Callithrix jacchus: one gene and its partners. The protein of the gene in region 2 interacts with the protein of the main gene of each other region in a pairwise test. Links are inferred from orthologs where the notes say so. Each region holds a gene or a part of one and is shown on either strand. Other genes may lie near its edges.

Region 1 (4,311 bases), on a different chromosome or scaffold from region 2:
GTTTTAATTTATTCATAATTTATTCAGCTGACACAAACACTTATATTTGTTTGTTTTTCCATTACCCTCATTATCAGCTTCAACATGTAGAAATGAACTTAATTTTGTTAAATGGCTATTTCCCACACAGTTGGGGGAAGAGACAAATGTTATTAAATTATTCCTTTTTAAAAAAAAAAGTTTTATTAAAATAAATTAAGGAAATCAGTTATTGAATTCCATTTTCTTGGTTTCCCCCAAACAAAATAACATGTGCTTGCATGAAAATTGTTTGCCCTAAGAAACTTAAGGGCAGTGGCTCAGTTCCGGAAGCATAAGGCTATCATGTAGGTTTCTCATTGCAGAAAAATAAAATGAACAGTAAGGGCTTATGGGAATTGCAAGAGTACTCTCATCAGCCTGAACTGGGATCTCTTTCAAAAGTTACACTGATATCGAATGTTCAGTTTATAAAATTGTCACTGCATTCTAAAATCGACGGTTTTTCTAATAAAAATTGAAACCTTCTTACAACGATTAACCTTCCACTATCTAAAGGGAGTTTCACTTATAGTTAGGAAAATACAGTAAATATCAGTGACACCACTGCTAACTTTCTTATAAAAACTAATTTGTGATTGAACATTAAAAGTTCATCCCCTATCCTTGGAAAATAAAAGTTATTTTATTCTTCTGACAGAAGAATCTATCCCATACTAACGCTGAAGAACGATTGATATTGCTGCGAAGGGGAGAGGAATATTAAACATGCGGTCAATCATTTTCATTTATGTGACATCTCACCTAAAGCTTTAAAAAGCATAAACATTCCAATCCTTCAAACCAATATATGGGATTACCTTCTAGGACTATTATTAACCCAGTTCCGCAGAGGAAGAAAAATATACAAATATTATATTAAACAAATAATACCTTCCAAAAAGATGGAAGCCAGGGTGCACCATAGCCACGAAAGAAAACTCACAAGTCTCTCAATTTTAAAGTATCTTTTAACAATTTTATGATAATAGAAGTAGGTCAGAGCTTTGAAAAGTTGTCTGGAAAACTTTGAGTTTCTCTGGATTGCTACAATTTACTCTGCAAGTTGTGCCTTCAAGCACCAGAGGTCAGGAAGATTCCCCTTTTGCGTGGCTGCTCAAATTATCCTCACTGAAATCAGCGCTTCCTGCGCACCCTTGCATACGACCTTCAGGCACGTAGCTAACTGACACTACCCAAGTTGCTGTTCGCTACCCAGTATTTGCCGCAGCTAAAACCAACTTGGTAGAGGGATTTATTTTCCACTCTTGAAATTTAGATTCTGTAATTAACTTACACAACATGAACATGTACTATATTAAGGTTCGTCTTTCTTCCAGCGTGAGCATGTATTTATTTACAATTCTCTGACACATTCCTTAAAATCTGAATTCCTAGATAATATCTTCTTCCCTAAGAAGGGGAAATTTTTACCATTTGAAATAGGGTGCTATTTAAAGAACTCTCAAACAAGAATGTTTAAAAAAAAAAAACTAAAACTTTTTTTTTTTTCTCATGTGCTCTGCCAAGTTCCATTGCAAGTTCCAAATATTGTGCAATAATTTGGAAATCCAGTTTACGATGGGAAAAGTCAAGCCACTCAGAGTCGGGAACTTGCAAGAGAAAAGTCAAGAAGCAGCACCCGCACGCACGCACGCCTGCCCAACGGACGCGGCATCCCTGGGCACACGCCCCTCCCTCCCCCGCGCTGGGATGGAAGGTCACGCTTCGCAATCGATTTCACAGCCACTTGTCCTTTTTTATCAACCTTCTGGTAAACTAGTTTAGGACCTTGGAGAGCTTAGAGCTGCTAGCTGTGTTGCTCTCGGATAAACACGTGCCCCCAAATAACAGGACCAAAGCTTCACCGCCGAATTTAACACATTCCCCTCTTCCCCGCCGCCACCCTCCAGGGCCAGACTCTTCCCTGGCATCTCCCCGCCCCCTTTCCAGGCCGGCGCGCACTCTCGAGGGTGCCTGGCGCTCTCTTACCTGAGCTGTCGCTTTTCCTCTTGCCACCGCTTCGTTTCTCCGCCTCCGCAGGTGACAGTGCCTGGCGACCGTAGTCCCCTGGCGCGCACGAGGCCCCGGTCGGGGTGCTGGAGCCCAAGCTGGAAGAGTTGGAACACAGGACAGGCGGGCTGCTCCCCAACTCTGGGGGTCCTCCGGAGTCGGGCTGGAGGCAGAGGCTGTGCCGAGCCGCAGTCGGTGGGGAGGACATCTGCGGGAGGTGCCAATTGGTTTGCAGAGCCTGGTGCTGCTGCTGCTGATGGTGGTGATGGTGGTGATGATGGTGGTGGTGGTGCCCCCTGTGATGCTGGCTGGCAAACATGCCCTCTTCGTTGGGGTATCCCGCGATTATGCAAGATGAGGAAGAAGTAGAGAGCTCGGGGTAAGACATATGGTCAGATCTTCCATGCAGGGCTAGAGAGGATTGGGAGAACGGGTGCAAGCCTTGTGCCGTGGCGTGAGGGCTGCGCAGGCAGCCAAAGAGCGGGTGTTCCATAGCATGCAAGTTTCGGGTTCCAGGCAGAAGACTTCACGGCGGTTCTAAAGGCCACCACCCTCTGTCACTTTTCACTGGAAACCGTGTGATGTTTTTTACCCCTCTCAAAGCAATAGCCGTGCACTTCTGCAGAGCTCGGATAATCCCGGTCCTGAGCCCTAACGGCCAGTCTCCTTTACATATGAACAGTCGGACCTGGAAGAGCTTCCCTGAGCTACTCAGATGTCAAGAGTGGGAGAGGTTGAAGCCAAAAGAAGGTGGTCCCAGTGAACTGCCTTCAGGGGGAAATGGCTCTGAGAGGTTATAAATAGACTGTAACGTGAGCTGGGGGCTGGCTTAGGAGCCCAGAGTTGACCACATGCAAACTCCCTCCAAAACTCCCGCTCAGTCTGCGCCACGCGCTCCCAGTTCCACTTCCTATCGCCGGCTGGACAGACGCAGAGCGTCCACGCCCGCCTAGCCCTGCCAGCTACCAGGACTACAAGCGGCGCGCCAGCGTCTAAATCCCGCCCGGGAGGGCAGCGGCTCTGCCCTCCAGACTCTGGAGGCCAGGGCGCGGCGCGCACCAGCGCCAACCCAGCACCCTGTTTCCCACCTACTAATTTTTCTCTTGGGAAAACGTAACTTGTCAGTGTCATTTGGGAACTGTCACCTGCAGAAAAGCTAGGGATACGCCTAGCCTTTGAGGAACACGAAAGAAGTGATAGGGTTAAAGGAAAAGATCAGAGCTAGCCTGGCGCACTCTGGAAGTTTTTCAAACTTCGCATCTTCCCGTGCCCAGGGCGCCGCCGCGCGCCTAGGTTTTCGCAGTTAGTTTCTGTGGGTGGTGGTTAAGAGGCTGGGACGCCAGGTCTGAGGTTTCGGGGACGTGCACCATGGCCTGGAAAGTGTGGTTCACAGTGCGGAAAGACCTGAGAGGAAGACCTAAGGAAGACCTGGTGGGGTGGGTGGGAGGTAAGCGCGAATTGCAGATGCCTGCTCTCTGGCATCCTCACGTGCGATGCCCGGTGGAGTCTCCCTCCCCCCCGCTTTCCTGGTCTCGCTCAATTTCCTAGCCACTCGTCCACCAAGAAGAAATTTTCCTGGGTCAAGAATTATTTCCAAGCGATTTTGTCCCAGTCACATGAGATGTGTAGATTTGCATGCACATTTCTAGCCTCTCCCCTCCGGAGCTAGCCCAGGTCTCTTCAGTTCCCTCTAGAAATCCACTCTTCTGCTCAAAAATAAATCCACTAATCGTGTCTCTTAACACCACTGCTCCATTTACTGAGAAATCTTAAATTTCGATAGCTCTAAGAATTCACTAAGCTTGGGCGCTTGATTACATCTTTGCATCCCTGAAAATAAACTCGATAACTTGCCTCCAGTAAGCATGGGAGAGCGAGGGCAGGGCTTTGATACTGCCACTTGCTTGGTGAGCGACAAGATCCGCTGGGGCACAGTCGTTTATACACAAGTGAATGGGCTTTAATGAGCAGGAGGAACAGTCACGTCGGATCTGGGACGTGTCGGATCAGGAGAATATCTGTAGTCACCTATTCCACCCGGAGCCCCGACTGCACCACCAGCAGTGTCGCCCTGTTATTTTCATTGTCTCAGGTGTCCAGAGGATGGTGACCAGGTCTTTGAAGTTGTTAATGGGATTAATGGGTACAGCAAACTGGGCTAGACATCTGGTTTGAATTAGGAAAAAGTATTGATTAATCTTTGAGAGGTGTCCCCAAAGCAGAACCTTTCCTCTCCTCTTCCAGTCCCCCTGTTTAAGCCTATCTTTTCTTTTAAGTCAC
Region 2 (4,303 bases):
TATTACTTTTGATGAGTTGATGTAGGTTTGTCTAATTGTACCACTCAGAGCTGAGAAGCCCCAGACACATTACTCTAAATTTGGGGTAACAAAAATAATACCTAAATGAACTTATAGTAGGAATCAGGAGAAGGTGTAAAAACGTGAGTCATAAAACAAAAAAGCTCTGTGCACACCACACAGAGGCTACCCTCTCCTCCTCCTGGTCCCACTGATTCAAACCCATCCAGGCCTTCACTAAGTAGTGCTACTTGTGCTGGCTGCCTTGCAGACAAATCTCCTTTACCTATGTCCAAAGAAGAGTCAGAATGAGAAGTAGGGGACAAGATATTAGCCAAACTAGAATCAAACTCCAAGAAAGTCCCACATCAGAAAAGATAAACAACAGACATCCAAATGGTGGTGGCATTTTTAATATACACCAGGAGAAGGGATGGTAAATAACCAAGTCAATCATTACTAAAGCTCTGTGGCTTTCTGTATAGTACTTAAAACCTCTCACTTTGTTTCCCAATCTATAAAATGGGAATGGAAAACCTATCAAACTTACAGTGTTGTTTGGGTTTTAATGAGTCAGTCCATGACAAGTGCCTAGTACAGTGCCAGGTATACATACAAACGTCCAGTGAAAAGTAACTATCAATCCTGGAGAAATTAAAGTTCAAAGACACTCAGATCAGACACTTAACCAAGATTTGACAGTGCAACTTGCAGAGCTAGGTCTTCTGACTGAAAAGCTCCTCTTTTCTAGTCAGTACATAAGACTGACACAGAAGAATCAACCAAAGTCCTTGAAGGCAGAACCAAGCCATATTGTGGTGGGAGGGGAAACCATTGGGAGTTAAGTACAGGGCATTTGGGTTTGACGCTGAATACTAGCAGTCATCTCTGTATTCTGCTTTTGAGCCTTTCCTTGTTCTTTGAAGCCCCCAGTTCTTTCCATCTCTAAGTGTTTCCGTCAAGGATAGACTTAAGACTCACCCGAAAGAAAAGGAGACTGCTGATAACGCCCTAGGGACCTGATCTGGCATCACCTGCTTTGCTCTATTTGAAAAAGCCACCATTCCCTGGTGGTCTTCACTGCATCTGCTCGGTATACAGGATCCTTCTCATTCTAACCCACCCCGGTGGCAGTAAGTGCTTAGATAAGCAAACACAGTTCACCAGTGCTATCAGGGTCTTTGGTGGATGAAGAGATTTTCCTTTTCCCAGCTCCCCTTACTTCCTTTCCGCCCCCCACTAAACTCCCATCTTCTCTCTGTACTTCTCTCACCTTATACTCCTGCACCACCTCCTCCAATGGCACCACGCTGTGTTGTTTGTGGCTCCTGGATTCTCGGCACACCACACAGATGGCCTCTTCGTCTACCTCGCAGAAGAGCTTCAGAGCTTCTTGGTGTTTGGGACAGATGCCTTGATCGGTTACACGACTCCCTCGACCAGGGTTTGGGTGCATCTGCCGAATCACCTGGACCATATTGGCCAGTTGCAGGTTGGGGCGGAAGCTCCGCCGAGGAAAGCTCTTTCGGCATTGGGGGCATGTGAAGCACCTCCGAGGGGCGGGAGGTGGGGGTAGTGGGGTGACGGGGTCTAGCTCCTCTTCTTCATCCTCCTCCAGCACTTCCTCCTCGTCCTCCTCATCCTCCCCCCTCAGGTCTTCCTCCATGTCCCCCAAGTAGTAGTCCAGGTCTTCCTCCTCATCCTCCTCCTCCCACACGTAGTCCATATTGTCCCAGCTGGACCTGCCCATGCCACTGGTCCAAAACACACCCTCTTCTTCCTCCTCGACCTCCTCCTCCATGTCACCCTCGTAGTCTTCATCCCGCATGGGGGTATCCCACCCTGCACCAGCCCCCACAGCCTCCACTTCCTCTTCCTCTCCGTCTTCCTCCTCCTCCTCCCGATCTAACTCATCCCTGTCCTCCTCATCCTCCCCACCCCACAACTGGGTTACACACACTCGGCAGAAGTTGTGCCCGCAGCCGATGGACACGGGGTCCGTGAAGTAATCGAGGCAGATGGCGCACACCGCCTCCTCCTGAAGGGTCTGCACAGGGTTGGGTGTCATGGCAACGGCAGCCATCTTAGTGTCCAGCCAGCCAGTGTAGAGGTGCGGTGGGGGGCAGGGGGCGGGGGTCTTCCTCCACCGACGCCAGGGCGACCCGGCCCCACCCCCAGCCCTGCCCCTCCACACCTTGCTCCAAGAGCAGCCAGAGAGATGTCCTCCAGACAACCCACACCGCCGCACAGAGTTCCCTACTCCCGAACGACAACCGTGTCTCAGCGAGGGGAGGGGAGGGGAGGGATGGGGACCGAACTGGGCGCCACCTTCAAGTCCCTCAGGTGGCTCTGGGTGCAAATCTGTCCCAATGCTCCCTTGGACTCCTCATAAACCCCCGCCCCTCCTCACTTCCTGGCCCCGCCCCTAGCTTCCGGCCTCCTTCCAAACACTTCCGGCGTCGACACACCACCTAAGTTCGCGACTTTCCTCCGCTGTCGTGCTACTCCCCCTTTTTCCCCCTGGGGCCCCAGGACGACAGGAAACGGCGAGGAGACGCTCTAGCCCGCATTCGAGAACAGGGCGGGAGGGCTAGGACGGTGGAGGCCCACGTCTCTGTGGTGCGGGGCCAGGGCGAAAGCAGAGAGAACAGAGGAACCGCCTACCCCCATCCCCGGCCGCTGGGGAGAAACTTCTGGGGGAGGAGGGAGCGCTTGGTGGCCGTCTGCCTTCGGTGCTATGACAGCATCGGCCTGGCGCCATCCTACCCACCCGGCACAGTCGACTGCTGCCGGTACTCCCAACAACCGATGCCGGAAGCGAAGGGGTGGGTCCGCGGAGCGCTCTGACGTACTTCCGGCCCTTCTAGGCAGACGACTTTGTGGTGGAGGACTCAGAGGATCGTCCGGGTCTGACTTGGGGGCGGGGCCTGAGAAAGCGCGGCGAGGGTTGGGATGCAGTCGCCCCACCCTTCCAACTGTATTCTGCATTCCGCATCCACGGTAGAAATTGCAAACCCAACGCTGTCTCATGGTTTAGATGAATTTCCCTAACTGCCCAGCAATAAAGAAGTGGTGACGAATCATTACATCTACATTCTCACAGCATCTCTGCAAAAATAGATGCTTTGTGCAGTCGAAATAATATTTGTTGCTTAGATAGCTTTTTAAATTTTATTTTTTCGAGACAAAGTCATGCTCCGTCGCCCAGGCTGGAGTGCAGTGGCACGATCTCGGCTCACTGCAACCCCCGCCTCCCGGGTTCAAGCGATTTTTCTGCCTCAGCCTCCCAAGTAGCTGGTATTACAGGCACGTGCCACTGCGACCGATTACTTTTTGTACTCTAAGTAGAGATGGGGATTTCACCATTTTGGCCAGGCTGGTCTTGAACTTTGTACCTCGTGATCCGCCCACCTCGGCCTCCCAAAGTGCTGGGCTTACAGGCGTGAGCCACCGCGCCCGGACTTAAGTTTTTTTTATTTTTTTTAATTTTTTTATTTTTTAGACAGAGTTTCGCTCTTGTTACCCAGGTTAGAGTGCAATGGCGCGATCTCGACTCACCGCCAACCTCCGCCTCCTGGGTTGAGGCAATTCTCCTGCCTCAGCCTCCTGAGTAGCTGGGATTACAGGCACGCGCCACCATGCCCAACTAATTTTTTGTATTTTTAGTAGAGATGGGGTTTCATCATGTTGACCAGGATGGCCTGGATCTCTTGACCTCGTGATCCACCGCCTCGGCCTCCCAAAGTGCTGGGATTACAGGAGTGAGCCACCGCGCCTGGCCTAAGTTTTATTTTTATAGCGACTGTTGATGTCAGTAGTATATAAATAAATAAATAAATAAATAAATATTGGCCATGATTTATGTACAGAATCTCCAGTGAGTGTCGGACACGGTGTGACGCCAGGGCTGGGCCTGCAGAACTTACTCGGCTCTCAAGGCGGCTCGCGGGAAAACTCCAGATGGGTGTCGTGCTTCCTACGGGGGTGGTCCGGCCTCTGAGGATGTCAGATCAAACGTACCAAAACCACAAACCCTCGTGGGTGAACTATGCTAGGCCATGCCAGGAGCTGCGTACTCTGCTGCAGTAGAAAAGTACGGCCCCAGAACTGGGACACCACCGCTCAGCTGGCCGCGGCACGGGTCCCTGGTCCTGTCCTACAAGGGCGCGGTCCTCTCCCTCTCCCGGCCTTCGCAGTCACGTCTATCTTCAGGACAATGCCGTACGCTAACAGCTAAGGTGGTTTCTGTAGTGTAGTGGTTATCACGTTCGCCTCACATGTGAAAGGTCCCTGGTGCGAAACC
Region 3 (4,062 bases), on a different chromosome or scaffold from region 2:
GGGGTCCAAATTAATCAACAGGGGTTATAGGGACCCAGCTCCAGTTCCATCCCAAACTCCAACCCTGACAAGTCCCTTCATCAGGGACTGTTCTTTCAGGGGCCTAGGGCAGAGAGCATCTGAATCTTGGATTCGGAGGAAAGTGGCTCTGTTTGGGGGAAACCGGAAGCTCGGCTGCAAACACCACCCTGGGGAAACACCTGTAACCGTGATGCTGCCCACTACTTTCAGGAAGGTGGCAACCATGAACAGCGGGGGCTTGCAGAAAGGTCAGCCTGAGGTCACCAGCTTCGTTTGGAAAAAGCCTGTTCCAAACCCACGTTAACAGAGATTGTTTTGGGATCCAGATTATTATTATTTTTTTTGAGATGGAGTCTCACTCTGTTGCCCAGGCTGGAGTGCAGTGGTGCAACCTCAGCTCACTGCAACCTCTGCCTCCCAGGTTCAAGCAATTCTCCTGCCTCAGCCTCCCAAGTAACTGGGATTATAGGCGCCTGCCACCACACCCAGCTAATTTTTCTTGTATTTTCAGTAGAGACGGGGTTTCACCATATTGGCCAGGCTGGTCTCAAACTCCTGACCTTGTGATCTGCCCACCTAGGCTTCCCAATGTGTTGGGATTACAGGCATGAGCCACCGCACCTGGCTTTTTTTTTCCTTTTTTTTTTTTGAGACAGGGTCTTGCTCTATTGCCTAGGCTGGAGGGCAGTGGCACGATATCAGCTCACTACAACCTCTACTTCCTGGGCTCAAGTGATCCTCCCACCGCACCCTCCTGAGCAACTAGGACAACTGGTATGTGTGTGCCACCACACCTGGCTAAATTTTTTTTTTTTTTTTTTGAGACGGAGTTTCGCTGTTGTTACCCAGGCTGGAGTGCAATGGCACAATCTCGGCTCACCGCAACTGCCGCCTCCTGGGTTCAAGCAATTCTCCTGCCTCAGCCTCCCAAGTAGCTGGGACTAACAGGCACGCACCACCATGCCCAGCTAATTTTTGTATTTTTAGTAAAGACGGGGTTTCACCTTGTTGACCAGGATGGTCTCAATCTCTCGACCTCGTGATCCACCCGCCTTGGCCTCCCAAAGTGCTGGGATTATAGGCGTGAGCCACCGCGCCCAGCCTATTTTATTTTTCTTTTCTTTTTTTAAAAATTTTTCTTAAAGATGGGGTTTCACCATGATGGCCAGGCTGGTTTTGAACTCCTGACCTCAGATGATCCACCCACCTCAGCCTCCCAGAGTGCTACGACTACAGGTGTGAGCCACCATGCCCGGCTTAATTTTGGGATTTTTTTTGTACAGATGTGGTCTCACCATGTTGCCCGGGCTAGTCTCAAACTCCCAAGCTAAAGTGATCCATCCTCCTTGGCCTCCCAAAGTGCTAGGACTACAGGTGTGAGTCAGCCATCACATACCACACGAGGCCCAGGGTCCCTATTATACCAAAAAATTGTCTATTCCCTCTATTCCCTTCCCAGTCCCAGTACCCTGGGCACAGTACCTCATTACTCCGGCCCTGCAGCTGGGCACCTTCAGCCTGGAAGAGCCTTGGGGGCACTTTGCAGTCCTCAGGTTCCTTGTCCTCGGGAGGACAAGCCTTCAGGGCCTGCTTGAGTTTCCCACATAAGGAGGAGGGGCTCTCACTTTGAGCAGGAGAATGGAGCTGGGGCCTCTGAGGACTATGACTGCCTCTGGGCTCCTGATCCCTGGGGACTAGACCCAGAGTCCTCGAAACTTCCTCTTCTTCCAAGCCTGCCGGCTCCTTGATGTGGCTGTTCACATTCTGGGAGGCAGGGGGCCCCAGCCCACTCTGGCCACCTGCTGCCTGTCCTACTGAAGTTTTGGGCTTGAAACTCTGGCACAGCTCTACGGCCTCTGGCACTCGCAACTCCCTGGCTGCCAGAAGCACCTGATCCCGGTTCCCTGAGGTGAGGGCGAGGTGACCAGTGTAGAAAAAGTCCAACAAAAGGCCAAAGATCTCAGCGAAGCCAGCAGGGAGGACGACACTGCCCCCTGAGCCATCCCCGTAGAGGCTCTGGAAGAAGTGGCTGCAGCAGGCAAGGACGCTCCAGTGGGCCTTAAACACCAGGCCCCCCACGTCCAGGGTGGCGTCGCAGTACTGGCCCTTCTCCCGCTGCTTGTTGAGCTCCTGCAGAACCCTCACACTGTGCTGGACGAAGGAGCCGTCCATGGTCTGGAGGACAGGGAGGCAGAAGTGACACTCTGGCCAGCCCAAGCGAGGGTATGCAAGATAAAGCCCCTGTAGTCGAAAAGAGAGAAAGGGGAAGTTGTCCTCTATTCAATCAAATTTATCAGCACAAGGGCTTGGGTCAAGGTGAGAGGTGCACGCGGAGGGCAAGAACACACTGAGAGCCTCTTGGGGGCCAGGGGCCATATTGGGTTGGCCGGGGGGATGCTGATGGGGTCCAGGGTCGTGAAGAGGGGCCTGATGGGAGAAATCAAAGTTTGGGGAAAGGAGGCACGGGATGAGCGCGAACTAACTGGCCCGGCACAGCGAGAGGATCCTGGAAGGGGGAGGGCGGCGGCCGCGGACAGGTGAGCGGGGCCCACGCCGCGCCACAGGTCCCGAGCGGCCGAGCGGAAGGCAGCCACGGCGGCCCGCAGCCCCTCCCTCCCTCACCCCGCGCCCTCTCACCCAGGCAGGTTCTCCCTAAGCCGGCCGAGCCGGCCCCACCAGCCGCCGGCTCCGTCGCCTCCACAGCCCACGAACCAACTACCTGGCAATGCGTGCCCCGCGGACCGTGCGGAGACGCCGCCGTCTTCGCGCCGGACGTGACGTCAGAGCGTGCCTGCCAGGAGGGGCGCCTGGGAAGCGTAGAGTTTCTAGCGCCAGCCCCTTAGGGCGGGACCCTGCAGAGAATGGCCAATGCGATGCGGGGACGAGGCCAAACCCTGTTCTTTCGGCGCCGGACCCGCCTCCGGAGTTGCCTAGCAACGTCAAGCTAGGCGCCCAGCCTTTTCCAGGCTCTGGATTCAGACTTCAATAGGCTACATCTCACCCTCTCCCGGGACAGGAAATCAGATACGCGTTTCACTTCTTTATTGGCAGCCCGGAGCCTGCTCTGGGCTCTCCCGGGCGCTTACACGTCCTAACACCAGACTGAGGAGCCCAGAGGCTTCCCGGACACCCCCGGCCTGCTCGACCTTCGACCCTGAGGGCAGGGAAGGTTGCCGGCCGTGCCTGCTGACCCACTGGTCAAGTGGAGCTGCGGCGCCTCGTGTAGTCCTGAATGGAGGCCTGGAAGTGCTCTGTGCTGTTAAGGTCTGGACGGCAGAGGATTACATAGCACTTGGGCAGAAAATACCCGCCGAAGCCACTGCTCAGGCTGCTGAGCACAGCCAGCATGTTGACTGCGGGCAGGTACTTGCCGTCGTAGACACTGGCCGTGGTGAAGAAGGCGATCCAGGACACGAAGTTGAAGAGCAGGCTGAAAGTGACACATTTGGCCTCGTTGTAGTTCTCTGGCAAGTCCTTGCCCAGGTAGTTGCAGGCAAAGGCGCTGATGGAGAGGAGGCCATTGTAGAGGAAGGCCAAGATGAAGCCCAGAGAATTGGCCTCTGTGCACTCAAGCACCACCAGCTGGGGGAAGCGCTGGTATTCCCGAGTGGGCAGTGGGGTCCACACCACCAGCCAAGTTAGACAGATAAGCAGCTGGGCAGCTGAGCTGATCATCACAAACAGGCCGGCACCGTGGTTTTGGACCCAGGCATGGTAGAATGTAGGCACCTTGGTGGAAAACTTGAAGATGATGACTAGTTGGAAGGAGCGAACTGTCAGGCAGGACAGGAAGATGGTGAAACCAAGGGCAAAGAGGGCCTGGCGCAGTAAGCATGCAGGCCATGTGGGCTCCCCAAAGAAACCATAGAGGCTGCTGCTACCTGCTGCCAGGGAGCCCAGCATCAGAAAGCACAGCCGGCCCCCTGCTGACCTCACCACAGGCGTGTCTAGGTGCCAGGCAAACAGGCCAGCAGTCCCAAGCAGCAGCAGCAGCAACACCGTGTTCGCTGCCAGCAGCACCCAAGAGGTATGCTCATGCCA

Evidence for each region. The genes of interacting proteins can lie anywhere in the genome.
Region 1: the proteins of TRIM41 (region 2) and MEOX2 interact in binary tests that used the Homo sapiens proteins (3 or more experiments, as listed by UniProt). The two-hybrid records come from large-scale screens. The link is inferred for Callithrix jacchus from reciprocal best matches to the Homo sapiens genes TRIM41 and MEOX2.
Region 3: the proteins of TRIM41 (region 2) and ZBTB48 interact in binary tests that used the Homo sapiens proteins (3 or more experiments, as listed by UniProt). The two-hybrid records come from large-scale screens. The link is inferred for Callithrix jacchus from reciprocal best matches to the Homo sapiens genes TRIM41 and ZBTB48.

The regions. Positions count from the first base shown.
Region 1 is NC_133512.1:42,792,480-42,796,790, reverse strand, and holds the start of MEOX2 (homeobox protein MOX-2), read right to left. Parts: upstream 2,804-4,311; 5' UTR 2,525-2,803; coding exon 2,011-2,524; exon of another isoform or gene 1,970-2,010; intron 1-1,969. UniProt on the Homo sapiens protein: Mesodermal transcription factor that plays a key role in somitogenesis and somitogenesis and limb muscle differentiation. Required during limb development for normal appendicular muscle formation and for the normal regulation of myogenic genes.
Region 2 is NC_133503.1:73,626,486-73,630,788, forward strand, and holds the start of TRIM41 (E3 ubiquitin-protein ligase TRIM41), read right to left. Parts: upstream 2,801-4,303; 5' UTR 2,084-2,800; coding exon 1,274-2,083; intron 1-1,273.
Region 3 is NC_133508.1:44,471,196-44,475,257, reverse strand, and holds the start of ZBTB48 (zinc finger and BTB domain-containing protein 48), read right to left. Parts: upstream 2,804-4,062; 5' UTR 2,741-2,803; exon of another isoform or gene 2,659-2,740; intron 2,263-2,658; 5' UTR 2,194-2,262; coding exon 1,504-2,193; intron 1-1,503. Other genes in the region: TAS1R1 (taste receptor type 1 member 1), read right to left, coding at 3,220-4,062. UniProt on the Homo sapiens protein: Plays a critical role in transcriptional regulation and chromatin remodeling. Acts as a regulator of telomere length. Directly binds the telomeric double-stranded 5'-TTAGGG-3' repeat.